Danio rerio: one gene and its partners. The protein of the gene in region 2 purifies or fractionates together with the protein of the main gene of each other region. This does not show direct contact. Links are inferred from orthologs where the notes say so. Each region holds a gene or a part of one and is shown on either strand. Other genes may lie near its edges.

Region 1 (4,381 bases), on a different chromosome or scaffold from region 2:
TCCTCTGTGCTGCAAGACAGGAAACACTATCTAACAAACAAAAACGTATTGTCTTTGTGAAAAGGATGAACATGTAAAGGATGCACTTTTATTTTATCAACAAAAATACTTTAATGCATTTTGCTGACGTAATTCTGAACTAGTACTTCAAGCCAATAAACATATCGCATTAAATAGACATACATAAATGCAATGTATTGTTCTTCATCTAAAATAATACTAATAAAGAGGTTGTTTACAAACTCATACACTATTAAAACTTCGTCATTCAAAACGTACATGAAATGCAACGAAGCTCTCTAAGTTACTAAGAAAGAGATTTTGCTTCATGTTGTCAGACTTTTCGGTATCTAAACATGTACACGTGGCAAAAAAAGACAATACATTTGATGGAAACTTTAATTGCTTTTTTAAATCCATGTAACTTTACACGTTGTCCTACGGTGTTTTGTTAACGTCAACAGGCCGCATGCGCAAGAATAGTGTAACGTTAACTGCGTTCAACTCACCTATTCTCGATATCTACAGGGTCCGTTGACTCTTTTTTGACTTTAACTTCTGTCATTGTGCATCAGACTGGAGTTACTGGAGTATTAGACCTAGTGTCAACAAAACAATACATTCATAGACCCATTTAAAGCTAAGATGAAACGCCGTGTGGTATTGCAGTGTGCGAGAGGCGGGGAGAGTTTACAGGCGACTGGGTTGCCAGACAGCGAAAAATAACCCATCAGACTGCTGTCAAATAGGATCGCAACATCGGTGGCTTGTCTCTTTTTAACGGAGAATTAAGCATTTTGTTTTGTCAAACCCAATTATATTTCGGAGTTAAGACACGACTTTTAGTATTTATAACGGAAGTATTCTACATTCGTTGATAAAACACGGATATGGCAACAGAAACTGAAAGCTTCAAATCTAGACAAAAGATTTACATCGCCACCTACTGTACGGGAGTATATCTGTGACTAAAATATCCTCATGATTTAAAGAGGACCAGTGTTGGAGAAAGTTACTTCAGAAAGTAATGCTTTACAGTATTGAGTTACTCCCCAAAAAAGTAACTAGTTACATTACTTAGTTACTTTTTATGGTAGGTAATGCGTTATGTTACTTTTGCTTTACTTTTTTTGACCTATGTGAGGCTGGCTGATCTCTTGCAGACATTGCAGGTTTTTTTTCTTCTTCTTCATTTTTTAGCTCTACAGTTAACAACACACTGTATAAAATTCTTTTCCTAAAAAAAAAAAAAATCTGAATTCCTAAAAATTATGTAGGATAAAGTTATCTTCGAATCAGTTTCTGAGCCCAGAGCTATACATGGTGCATAATGAATGTTTAAAAGAATGCTTTTCCTACTTTAGTACTTTTTGTCTTGGGAGTAAAATCTATTCAAATGATACTCTTTTGCTTTTCCTCCATGTGTTCAAAGTAATGAGAATATTTCCATCGCAGAAATTTATAGCTCTGCCATCTTCATGTCTGTCTGTTCCTGCGTTCTCTCATCGAGTGTGGCATTCATTTTAATTCAGCAATTTATTTTTTTAAAGCGAATTACTTAAACTAAAAAGTAACTCACATTACACTTTTTAAAAAGTAACTAAAATTTTATTACTTAATTTCTGAAGGTAATGTGTTACTTTATTCGTTACTTAGAAAAGTAATACTATCACGGAACTCACGTTACTTGTAATGCGCATTACCTCCAACACTGTAGAAGACTCCCGTTAAAATATAATTTAGAGTTATAAATAGACCATTTCGATGTGGCAATGTCACTGACCCATGAACATTTCCTGCTCGTTGTTGAACTACTTCATAACTGTAACAAATCAATTTAATCATATATTAACTTTAAAACAGCTGCTATAACATTATTTATCAATTTGTGGTCCTTTTTTATTCTTGGAAGCTATGGAAATTCTAAATGTCATAGAGGAAATACATTAGTGCCATTGTTATTGTTTACATCCCTTGAAATGGTCTATAGTATAATACCCCAGTAAAATACACAAGACTTTTGTGACACACTAATTAATTGTACTTTTGATAATTAATTTAAGCTTTATAAAACGTATATATGCTGTACTTTCAAAATAGAATTACATTGATCTTGTTTTATGCTTTAGGTCACAATGTTTTTAATTTTTTTTACATAAATTATGCTGAATGGCGATTTGGGTGTTCTTTTACAAACATAAAGACATATGATTTAAAAAAAAAACTTTGTTTAAAATATTGCATCAAGTACGCATGTGTTAAAATTTATTTAATGAGAATACACGGGAAATTGTTTCAGGTAAAATAGACAAATAGAGAATTTGTAAAGTAAAATTGATATAAAAATCTGATCCAGTTACTGGTCCCTAGAGATTGAGCTAAAGTTGGTTTTATATTGGCACATTCATTCAGTGACAAGTTGTGACATGTTCCCTATATTGTTTATCATGGTACTTTGAATATTCAGTCACACGGCTTCAAAACAACATTAGCAATATTTATTTGACTGTGAACAATGTTGTGCTTAGATAGTCATTGGCTGCTAATATTTTATATTATAATTTGCAAAAAAAAACTAAAAAAAAGTTAAATTATTGAGGAAAGTCCGAATGTGTGAATCTAAAATTTTACCACAATTCTGTAGAGGGAGCTGGGTCAATCAAAAGCCAACCTTTTAGACCGTTTCAAGAAAATAATAAACGATTTTGAATTTTTCTAATTGTGTTTTCCATGGACGAAAATAATATGAAGTAATGGCTACAGAATTAATGTCAAGAGGAGTGAGTTACCCCTTTAAATTTGACTGTGGGAAATGAGCGCATGCGCACTAATCAGTTGCCATGGGTAACGTGACCCACCAATAGCGCAGCCAGCTGTGTGTTCAGTCTAACATTACAGCGTCTTGTACACACCGTACACATCGTGTGCTTCGAGTGTCATCGAAAAAAACACTCATTTAATATAAATATACGAAATATTTACAATTCAATTGTAAAGTGATTAGAGATACTTCAATCTACAAAAAATAGTCTGTGTAAGCTCTTATTATCCAGTAGCCTAATGCACTAATAATAGTATAACGTTAAGCATTTTATGTCATTCTAATGATATATTTTATTTTCTATATTGCAGGTTAAAGAGCACAAACATGACTGCAGGATCAGTGGCAGCACCTCAAATAATCCCCATCCGCATTCCTCCTCCAGGTAAAGCCAAGCATGAGATAGACTCCAGCACTCCTGTTGAGATCAAGTCAGGTGAGTCAGTTTAGCTCTAAAGATACAGTTCACCCCAAAATGAAAAAGCTCTCAACCTCCACTTATTCTAAGTTTTATGAATAACTTTCTTCTGTTGAACGCAAAAGAAGATATTTTGAAAAATGTTGGAAAGCATCAGCAATAGACAATCAAAATATGTTCCTTCTATGGGAGTGAATGGCTGCTGGTTTACAACATTCTTCAGAATGTCTTGTTTCATGTTTAACAGAAGAAAGACATTTATAACATTTTAGAACCGTTTGAGTAAGAGGAAATGACATTTTTGGTTGATCTCTTTAGCACAAGCCTGCGTCTTGTTGATTTTCATGTGTTTTATAATGTATATTTCCCAGAATCCCCTGATGTGAGGGTCCTGTACACGCTGGACGGCAGTAAGCCGGAGCTGACAAAGAGGCCAGGTTTTGCTGACAGCACTCTAAAGTACACTGAACCTGTTCGGTTACCTGTGGGGAAAGTGTATGTGAAAGCCATGGCCGTCTCTATGTAGGTACATTTTATGCTTTGTTTTTTATAATAATGTGTGTGTTGTTTTTAACTACAGGCACTGCTACAAGTGTTGATTTTTATTAAAACTTTGAGATTTTGTTTTGTGCTTTCCCACATCATGAAAGAATTTATATAGCAGTTTATTGTAAATACTATAGTGTTTTTGATTGTAATATAGTATTTACAACACTTTGTTAATGAATGCTACAGCATAGTGAAGTATTAACTATAGTAAACTGTAAATCTGTAATAAATACTGTATTAACTTTTGGTTTTACAACAGCAAACTGTGGAGTATTGTAGTATAATAAACCATTTAGTTGTAGAAAACCTTTATATTTAAGAAACTAGTTTGTTACTACATGTGTTGTAATACCTAAACAATTAATTGAGTTAGCGCAACAGATTAATTTAAACGTACAATAGTATGGTTTGAAAACCTTATTACTTATAATATATAATATTTGAGATCAAATTATATCACTAAAGTACTTACTATAAAAACTGCTAAAGTATTTTTTCATATTTGGTAAATTTCAATAAAACTATTCCTTTATTGTTTACTTGTTTAAAAATGTTCAAGGTCTTTTTGTGTTGAAATTTAGTGCTGTTTCTAA
Region 2 (4,135 bases):
TCGCCTGTGTGAAATAAAAGCCGTTTCTAACATATCAATTCGAGGTGTTGGTTAGGACAAAAACTCCTTTTAATATGGAAAATATTTGTTCTATCACGTGCCGTTGCTTTTATACTGAACACGGTTTACATTAGGCTTGAGACTCGCTCCTCTTGGTCATCTGGCAACCTGCACTTGCATATGTTTTGATTCTGGAATGTAATTCCTAGTTCAACCACTGGGTGTCAAATTACATACCTTTAAACATTTGCACCTTTAAATGTTATTTACAATAATTGCATTAAGACTCAGGATTAGAAAAAAAGGATTGCATATGTGCCAAAGTGTAGAAATCGCATGTTATGTAATTTCGAAAAAAAAATGACATGATACAATGAGCATAATATAAGCCCTTTAAAGATGTCAGTAAAGAGCTAGTCCTGGGCTCTGAACTGACCTTTCTTGGGAGCCGCTGGACGGATGTAAAACGGGAGCGTCTTCATGGCTCCCCTAAACTCCTGTTTGAGGGCCAGCATGTACTCGGCCTCCTCACCTGCCTGCAGGGGCACTGGCTTCTGATCCAGAGGCTGAACACATCAAACAGCACATTCACATCTGTCTGCTGCTCACACAAACACCTGCTGTCACTCATTTACACATGCCAAGACAGAAATCAGCTTTTAATAGGGCATACAGCTAAAGTCAGAATGATTTTTTTCTTTTTTAAAATATTTCCTAAATAATGTTCAACAGAGCAAGAAAATTTTCACAGTATGTCTGATAACATTTTTTCTTCCGGAGAAAGTCGTATTTGTTTTATTTCGGCTAGAATAAAATCCATTTAAAGGTCAATATTATTAGCCCCATTAAGAAAATTTTTCTTCTTCGATTGGCTACAGAAAAAAAACATTGTTATACAATGATTTGTCTAATAAACCCCAATCAACCTACTGTAGTTAAGCCTTTAAATGTCACTTTAAGCTGAATACTAGTATTTTGAAAAATATCTAGTCAAATATTATGTACTGTCTTTATGGCAGAGACATCTACAGACACTTAAAATGGCAATAAAATTATTTTCTTTACTGTAATAAAAATGTTAATTGAAATAAAAAAAACATACAGTTGAAGTCAGAATTATTAGCCCCTTTTTTATTTTTTTCCCCAATTTCTGTTTAACAGAAAGATATTTTTTTCAGCACATTTCTAAACATAATAGTTTTAATACCTCATCTCTAATAACTGATTTATTTTATCTTTGCCATGATGCACATAATATTTGACTAGATATTTTTCAAGACACTTCTATACAGCTTAAAGTGACAGTTAACGGCTTAACTAGGTAAATTAGGTTAACTAGGCAGGTTAGGGTAATTAGGCAAGTTATTGTATAATGATGGCTTGTAGACTATCGGAAAAAAAATTGCTTAAAGGGGCTAATAATTTTGACCTTAAAATGGTATTTAACAATTAATAACTGCTTTAATTTTCCAGAAGAAACAATATTATCAGACATACTGTGAACATGTCCTTGCCCTGTTAAACATCATTTAAAAAATATAAAAAAGAACAAAAAAATTCAAAGGGGGGCTGATAATTCTGATTTCTACTCTTACTTCCAGCAGGATAACGCGCCATGTCAGAAAGCACAAATCATCTCAGACTTTTTTTTTTAACATCACAATGAGTTCACTGTACTCAAATGGCCACAATATTCACCAGATCACAATCCAATAGAGCATCTTTGGGATGTGGTGGAAAAGGAGATTCACATCATGGATGTTTAGCGGGCAAACTGCTTGATGATATCATGTCAATATGGACCAAAATCTCTGAGGAATATTTCCAGTATCTTTTTGAATCTATGCCACGAATGATTAAGGCAGTTCTGAAGACAAAAGTGGTCCAACCCAAAACTAGTAAGGTGTACCTAATAAAGTGGCCGGTGAGTGTAAGTGGCTTATTATGTAACTGTTAAGGTAAATAAGGTGGAATACTGTGATGATGTGTTCAACAATAAAACAATTTGAATTCTAAAACAAATATTTAAACAAATATGTTGTTGTGATATTAGACACTTTTAAAATGTAATGTTTGCTGAATGTTGAACAGGACCGTTTTTTCAATGCAATTTCTGTGTAGCTCGTGACGCCATCCACATTAAACTATTAAAGCACTGCGTTTATGCTCATGAAATGCAGAATCTGACTCATATCTTGATAATAGCAGTGTATAACAAGCGTATAACAGTTTATAAACGAGGCTTTATTGTTGTGTCTTGAAGACTCACGGGGAACAGAGGTGTCGGCTGGATGCAGGACGGAGGGAGATTTTCACCTTTACCGATCCCAACTATCTCCACAGAGAAAGTGAGCTGCCCTCTGCCCCTTCCTGCCATCATCTGAGACAAAATATTTCACATTTATTAATCATACATCCTCTTTATTTAACTCGTTTATCCGTTATTCACAGTATAAGTTTACTCATTATCAAACAACTAAATTCGGCTAGAAAAGACACATTTAGGCCAAACATGTTAAAATATTTATTTTTACATAAATGTACTTTTGGTAAATGTTTTATTTTCAATGTAACGTTTTATTTGTTTTGACCGAACTGTAGCATATAAACACACCTCTTTCACTCAATGCGGCGAAATCCCTCTTTATTTTCAACTTCGTTTCATTGTGCAAAGGTTTTATTGGTTAATCCGTCAGTAAACGTGGTTGTTTTTAATGTAATTTCAGGTTTTATTGATGTAAAATTGAGCAATAAAATCACCCGCCAAACATCTGCCCGTTTGTTTTTGCCCGCTTCTGAAAACACTCCTGCCAGAAACATGAGCGCGGTCTTTTATGGTTCCGCGTTTCGCGTCAGTTAACGTTAACCAGTGCTACTCAAAGTGAATCATGCTAAACAAACAAATCATTACAAAATATGTAAGGATTCATTACATGTTTTGCATATTGCTCACAGAGATGCTGATGCACATGCTAAAGATTATTATACTGTAGTCAACATTTGAAGTGGATCAAAACCTTTATCAAAGTTGTTCCAAAACTATTCAACAACACACATTTTTAACTTAGGACAAATTTTGATAAACATTTTTGATCTGTTTTAAATGTTGGCTATTATTTATTAAAACTACTGTTTATGTAGCCTATAACTAAGTTACAACACTTTATTACATATGTGAAACATATTTGTCCGTGTACATACAGTATAGATATTTCTGTAATTCATGGCTTTATTGTATAATACTCACAGACACAGTGCGTGTGTGTGCGCGTGCATGCGTGTGTGTGTGTGTGTGTGTGTGTTTACAGTTGAGGTATTGTTATTAGCCCCCCTTAGAATTCTTTTTTCTTTTTAAAATATTTCCCAAATGATGTTTAACAGGGCAAGGAAATTTTCACAGTATGTCTGATAATATTTTTTCTTCTGGAGAAAGACTTAATTGTTTTATTTTGGCTAAAATAAAAGCAGTTTTGAATTTTTCAATGAAAATTTTTAGGGTCAAAATTATTAGCCCTTTTAAGCTTTTTTTTTTTTTTTTTTTTTGATAGTCTACAGGGGTTCTCAAAGTGGGGGACGCGCGACAATGAAGGGGGGGGGGGTCGCCTAGTTATTTCCAAAAATCGAGTTATTTTTATTAAACCATAAGAATTACCATATTTTATCCATAACCTACTGAAGAGAAAAATCTAAATCATCTTTATAGTGATTTAACATTTTAACATCTTTATACACTATATACTGCTGTATTGAGTTACTATAGTAGCTTCTAGTTACTAGTTCTATTGGATTGCGACCCCTGGGGTAATTACATTATGTTAAAGACAGCAATAGCGTCAGATGTAACAGACTGATTTTATAACACCAGGTTAAACTTTCTGGCACATTAACAGCACTGACATACATTAATTCCACAAAGAATAGACATGGGTTTCTGTACTTATAACCACCTCAGAGGATGTTGGGAGTCGCGAGTCACTGGCATTGTCGTTTTGGGTGTCATGGGCTGAAAAGTTTGGGAACCCTTGGATTACAGAACAAACCACTGTTATACAATAACTTGCCTTATTACCCTAACCTGCCTAGTTAAACTAATTAACCTAGTTATGCCTTTAAATGTCACTTTAAGCTGTATAGA
Region 3 (2,757 bases), on a different chromosome or scaffold from region 2:
GTTTTCACCTTTAGAAAAATTAGGTGAAAATTATTAGTTTTTCCTCAAAACAAGTGAAATTATCTGAAAATGGGGAAGGTAAAATAATCATGTTTTCGGAAAACTTAGGAAAAACTTCTCTTTTTTTTTGCATAAATTGTATAAATATTAAATAAAATAAATCTTTGTTACACCTCAAAACTTCATAATTCGTTGTGCACAAACTCTCTTAATTCATTTTCTTTTTCGGCTTAGTCGCCACAGCGGAATGAACTGCCAACTTATCCAGCATATGTTTTACACAGCAAATGCCCTTCCATCTGCTACCCATCTCTGGGAAACAACCATACACAATCATTCACACCCATACACTACGGACAATTTAGCCAACCCAATTCACCTGTACCGCATCTCTTTGGACTGTGGGGGAAACTGGAGCACAAAGAGGAAACTCACGCGAACACGGGGAGAACATGCAAACAAAATAGACATCTAAGAATAGTTCAAAACTAGACTAGTCGTCAAATAGACAGACTATATATGTGTAGTCATTCATTTCTGTCTATTTGACGACTAGTTTAGTTTTGAGCTATTTTTAGACTTCTATAAGATTTTCACTGACAGCCCAAATTTAGCCTTGTTTTAGCCAAGACGACAATGTTTAGACATCTATTAGACATCTTTTAGAATGAAAAAATGCTTGCTGGGAAGGGCTTGAGCTGGCTTATTGAAAATTCCCTGTGCAATTCAGCGCCAATTGCTTAGTGGTTAAGTATACCAACATATGGCACAATAGTGCTCACAGCGACCTGAGTTCGACTCCTAGCTAGGGGTCCTATGCTGATCCTTCCCTCTGTCTGAACCCAATCGTTTCCTGTCTGTCCTTTACTATCCTATCTCAATAAAAGGTAAAAACCAACCAAAATAATTATTTAAAAAAGTCCCTGTGCATTGCTGATGCTTACTTTGGCATTTCTGAATTATTTCTTTAAGGTGACCATAGTTAACCATAGACTTAGTTTAATGTGTTTAAAAAATTGCAGATCTATTACATTCACAAACAGCTACTTTAAACAATATGTTAAAGGTAATTTTTGAAGAAGAAAAAAACATTTATGGGACACTATCATTTCTCAACTCTTTAATTGCCTGCTCGACAAAATGGCCACATATTATTGACTGTTTAAGTAAAGAATGTTTTTTTTTTTTTTTACAAAAAAAAAATATCAAACAAACAATCCTGTTGCACTACTTCACTTCATTTAGGTTTTATTGTAAAAAAAACAAAAAAAACATGTTAAATGAGAATCTGAAATATTTCATGGCATACCTTAAAAATGAAGATGATTTAGTTTTCAAAAATGTACACTTCATAGTTTTAGCTTTTTCATAGTATATGCATTAATTGCAGTACTTTTACCATAAACCGACACGTCATGGCATGTGTTGAAAAAAAAATTCGCATTGAGTATGTTAACTAGCGACATTAGGAGTTAGGTAATGCAATACACATTTTTGTTTCTTGGTGGGGCAGTTAAAGGGTTTAACATTTTGAACATACTTAGCATTGTCAAAAATGGGCAAAGATGTTAAAGACAAAGTGTATGAAAAAAAGATGTGAAGACTCATACCAGCTGGATCTCAACAGCAGTCTGAGGTCTGTGGTTTAAGAGCTGCAGCTTCTCTGCTCTTTGAACAGAAATAGAAAAGAAGTTAACAGGCTGCTTTTTTCACAAGCTAAAATAAAAAATCTGATAAACTAACACTAGACTCATTGTCAAGTGCAAAACCAGCAACTCACACGTGTACTGGTTTCAGAAACATCACAACACAAACCTTCACAATGGTGCATCTCAAACCCAGAATTACAAAGTCACTGCAATGCACTGTATTTACTGTGGCTTTCACACAGTTTGAGGCTTTAAGGTTTTTCCTTTCAAAGAGGTGATTCAGTGCACAAGTTTTAAATGCATGCTTACAAAATAAGAGAAAAAATAAAAAGTACTTAGTAAGTTTGTGAGGCAGCATGGCGGTGAGGAACTCCTTCACTGTCTCTGGTTTCTGATGAACACATGGCGTCTTAGAGAGGTACTTCAGGGTCTGTTGAGGCAGAGATTTCAGACGTTAAAGGGCATGACTGAGCAACACAATCTCAAATCTTTGCCTTGTTTTGGAGATAAGGCTGTGCAATATGACAATTTGTACAGGGGTTGGACAATGAAACTAAAACATTGGCCAATTTAGTGTTGGAGGTTTCATGGCAGGTGATTATGCATTCCACCAGTAAGAGCAGAGTGTGAAGGTGTAATTAGGAGAGTAAAAGCACGGTTTTGCTTAAAAAGTTTTAAATGCACACAACATTATGGGTGACATTTTGGAGTTCAAAAGAGGACAAATTGGTGTGCGTCTCGCTGGCGTATCTCTGACCAAGACAGCAAGTTGTGATGTATCAAGAGCCACGGTCTCCTGAGTAATGTTAGCATACCACCAAAAAGGATGAATCACATCCAACAGTAGTAACTGTGGATGCAAGAGCTGTCTGAAAGGGATGTCAGGGTGCTAACCTGGATTGTATCCAAAAATACATAGAACCACAGCTGCCCAACTCGCTGCAGAATTAAACGTGCACCTCAACTATCCTCTTTCTACAAAACTGTTTGTCGGGAGCTCCACAGGGTCAATATACATGACCGAGCTGATATAGCCCAACCTTTGGTCACTCACGCAAATGCCAAACATCGGTTTCAATGGTGCCAGCAGCAAAAATCTTGGTTTGTG

What was found.
Region 1: the proteins of polr3glb (region 2) and polr3f purify together in Homo sapiens (co-immunoprecipitation; 5 studies listed by BioGRID and IntAct, counting the BioPlex papers as one, with this or other methods). This does not show direct contact. The link is inferred for Danio rerio from reciprocal best matches to the Homo sapiens genes POLR3GL and POLR3F.
Region 3: the proteins of polr3glb (region 2) and crcp purify together in Homo sapiens (co-immunoprecipitation; 3 studies listed by BioGRID and IntAct, counting the BioPlex papers as one, with this or other methods). This does not show direct contact. The link is inferred for Danio rerio from reciprocal best matches to the Homo sapiens genes POLR3GL and CRCP.

Annotation. Positions count from the first base shown.
Region 1 is NC_133197.1:25,888,499-25,892,879, forward strand, and holds the start of polr3f (DNA-directed RNA polymerase III subunit RPC6), read right to left. Parts: upstream 2,834-4,381; 5' UTR 2,632-2,833; intron 695-2,631; exon of another isoform or gene 566-694; coding exon of another isoform or gene 510-565; intron 1-509. Other genes in the region: dzank1 (double zinc ribbon and ankyrin repeat-containing protein 1), read left to right, coding at 3,149-3,257, 3,611-3,761. UniProt on the Homo sapiens protein: DNA-dependent RNA polymerase catalyzes the transcription of DNA into RNA using the four ribonucleoside triphosphates as substrates.
Region 2 is NC_133191.1:47,264,781-47,268,915, reverse strand, and holds the start of polr3glb (DNA-directed RNA polymerase III subunit RPC7-like), read right to left. Parts: upstream 2,810-4,135; 5' UTR 2,615-2,809; intron 2,381-2,614; 5' UTR 2,378-2,380; coding exon 2,270-2,377; intron 567-2,269; coding exon 437-566; intron 1-436. UniProt on the Homo sapiens protein: DNA-dependent RNA polymerase catalyzes the transcription of DNA into RNA using the four ribonucleoside triphosphates as substrates. Specific peripheric component of RNA polymerase III which synthesizes small RNAs, such as 5S rRNA and tRNAs.
Region 3 is NC_133196.1:33,903,934-33,906,690, forward strand, and holds part of crcp (DNA-directed RNA polymerase III subunit RPC9), read right to left. Parts: intron 2,080-2,757; coding exon 1,985-2,079; intron 1,669-1,984; coding exon 1,611-1,668; intron 1-1,610. UniProt on the Homo sapiens protein: DNA-dependent RNA polymerase catalyzes the transcription of DNA into RNA using the four ribonucleoside triphosphates as substrates.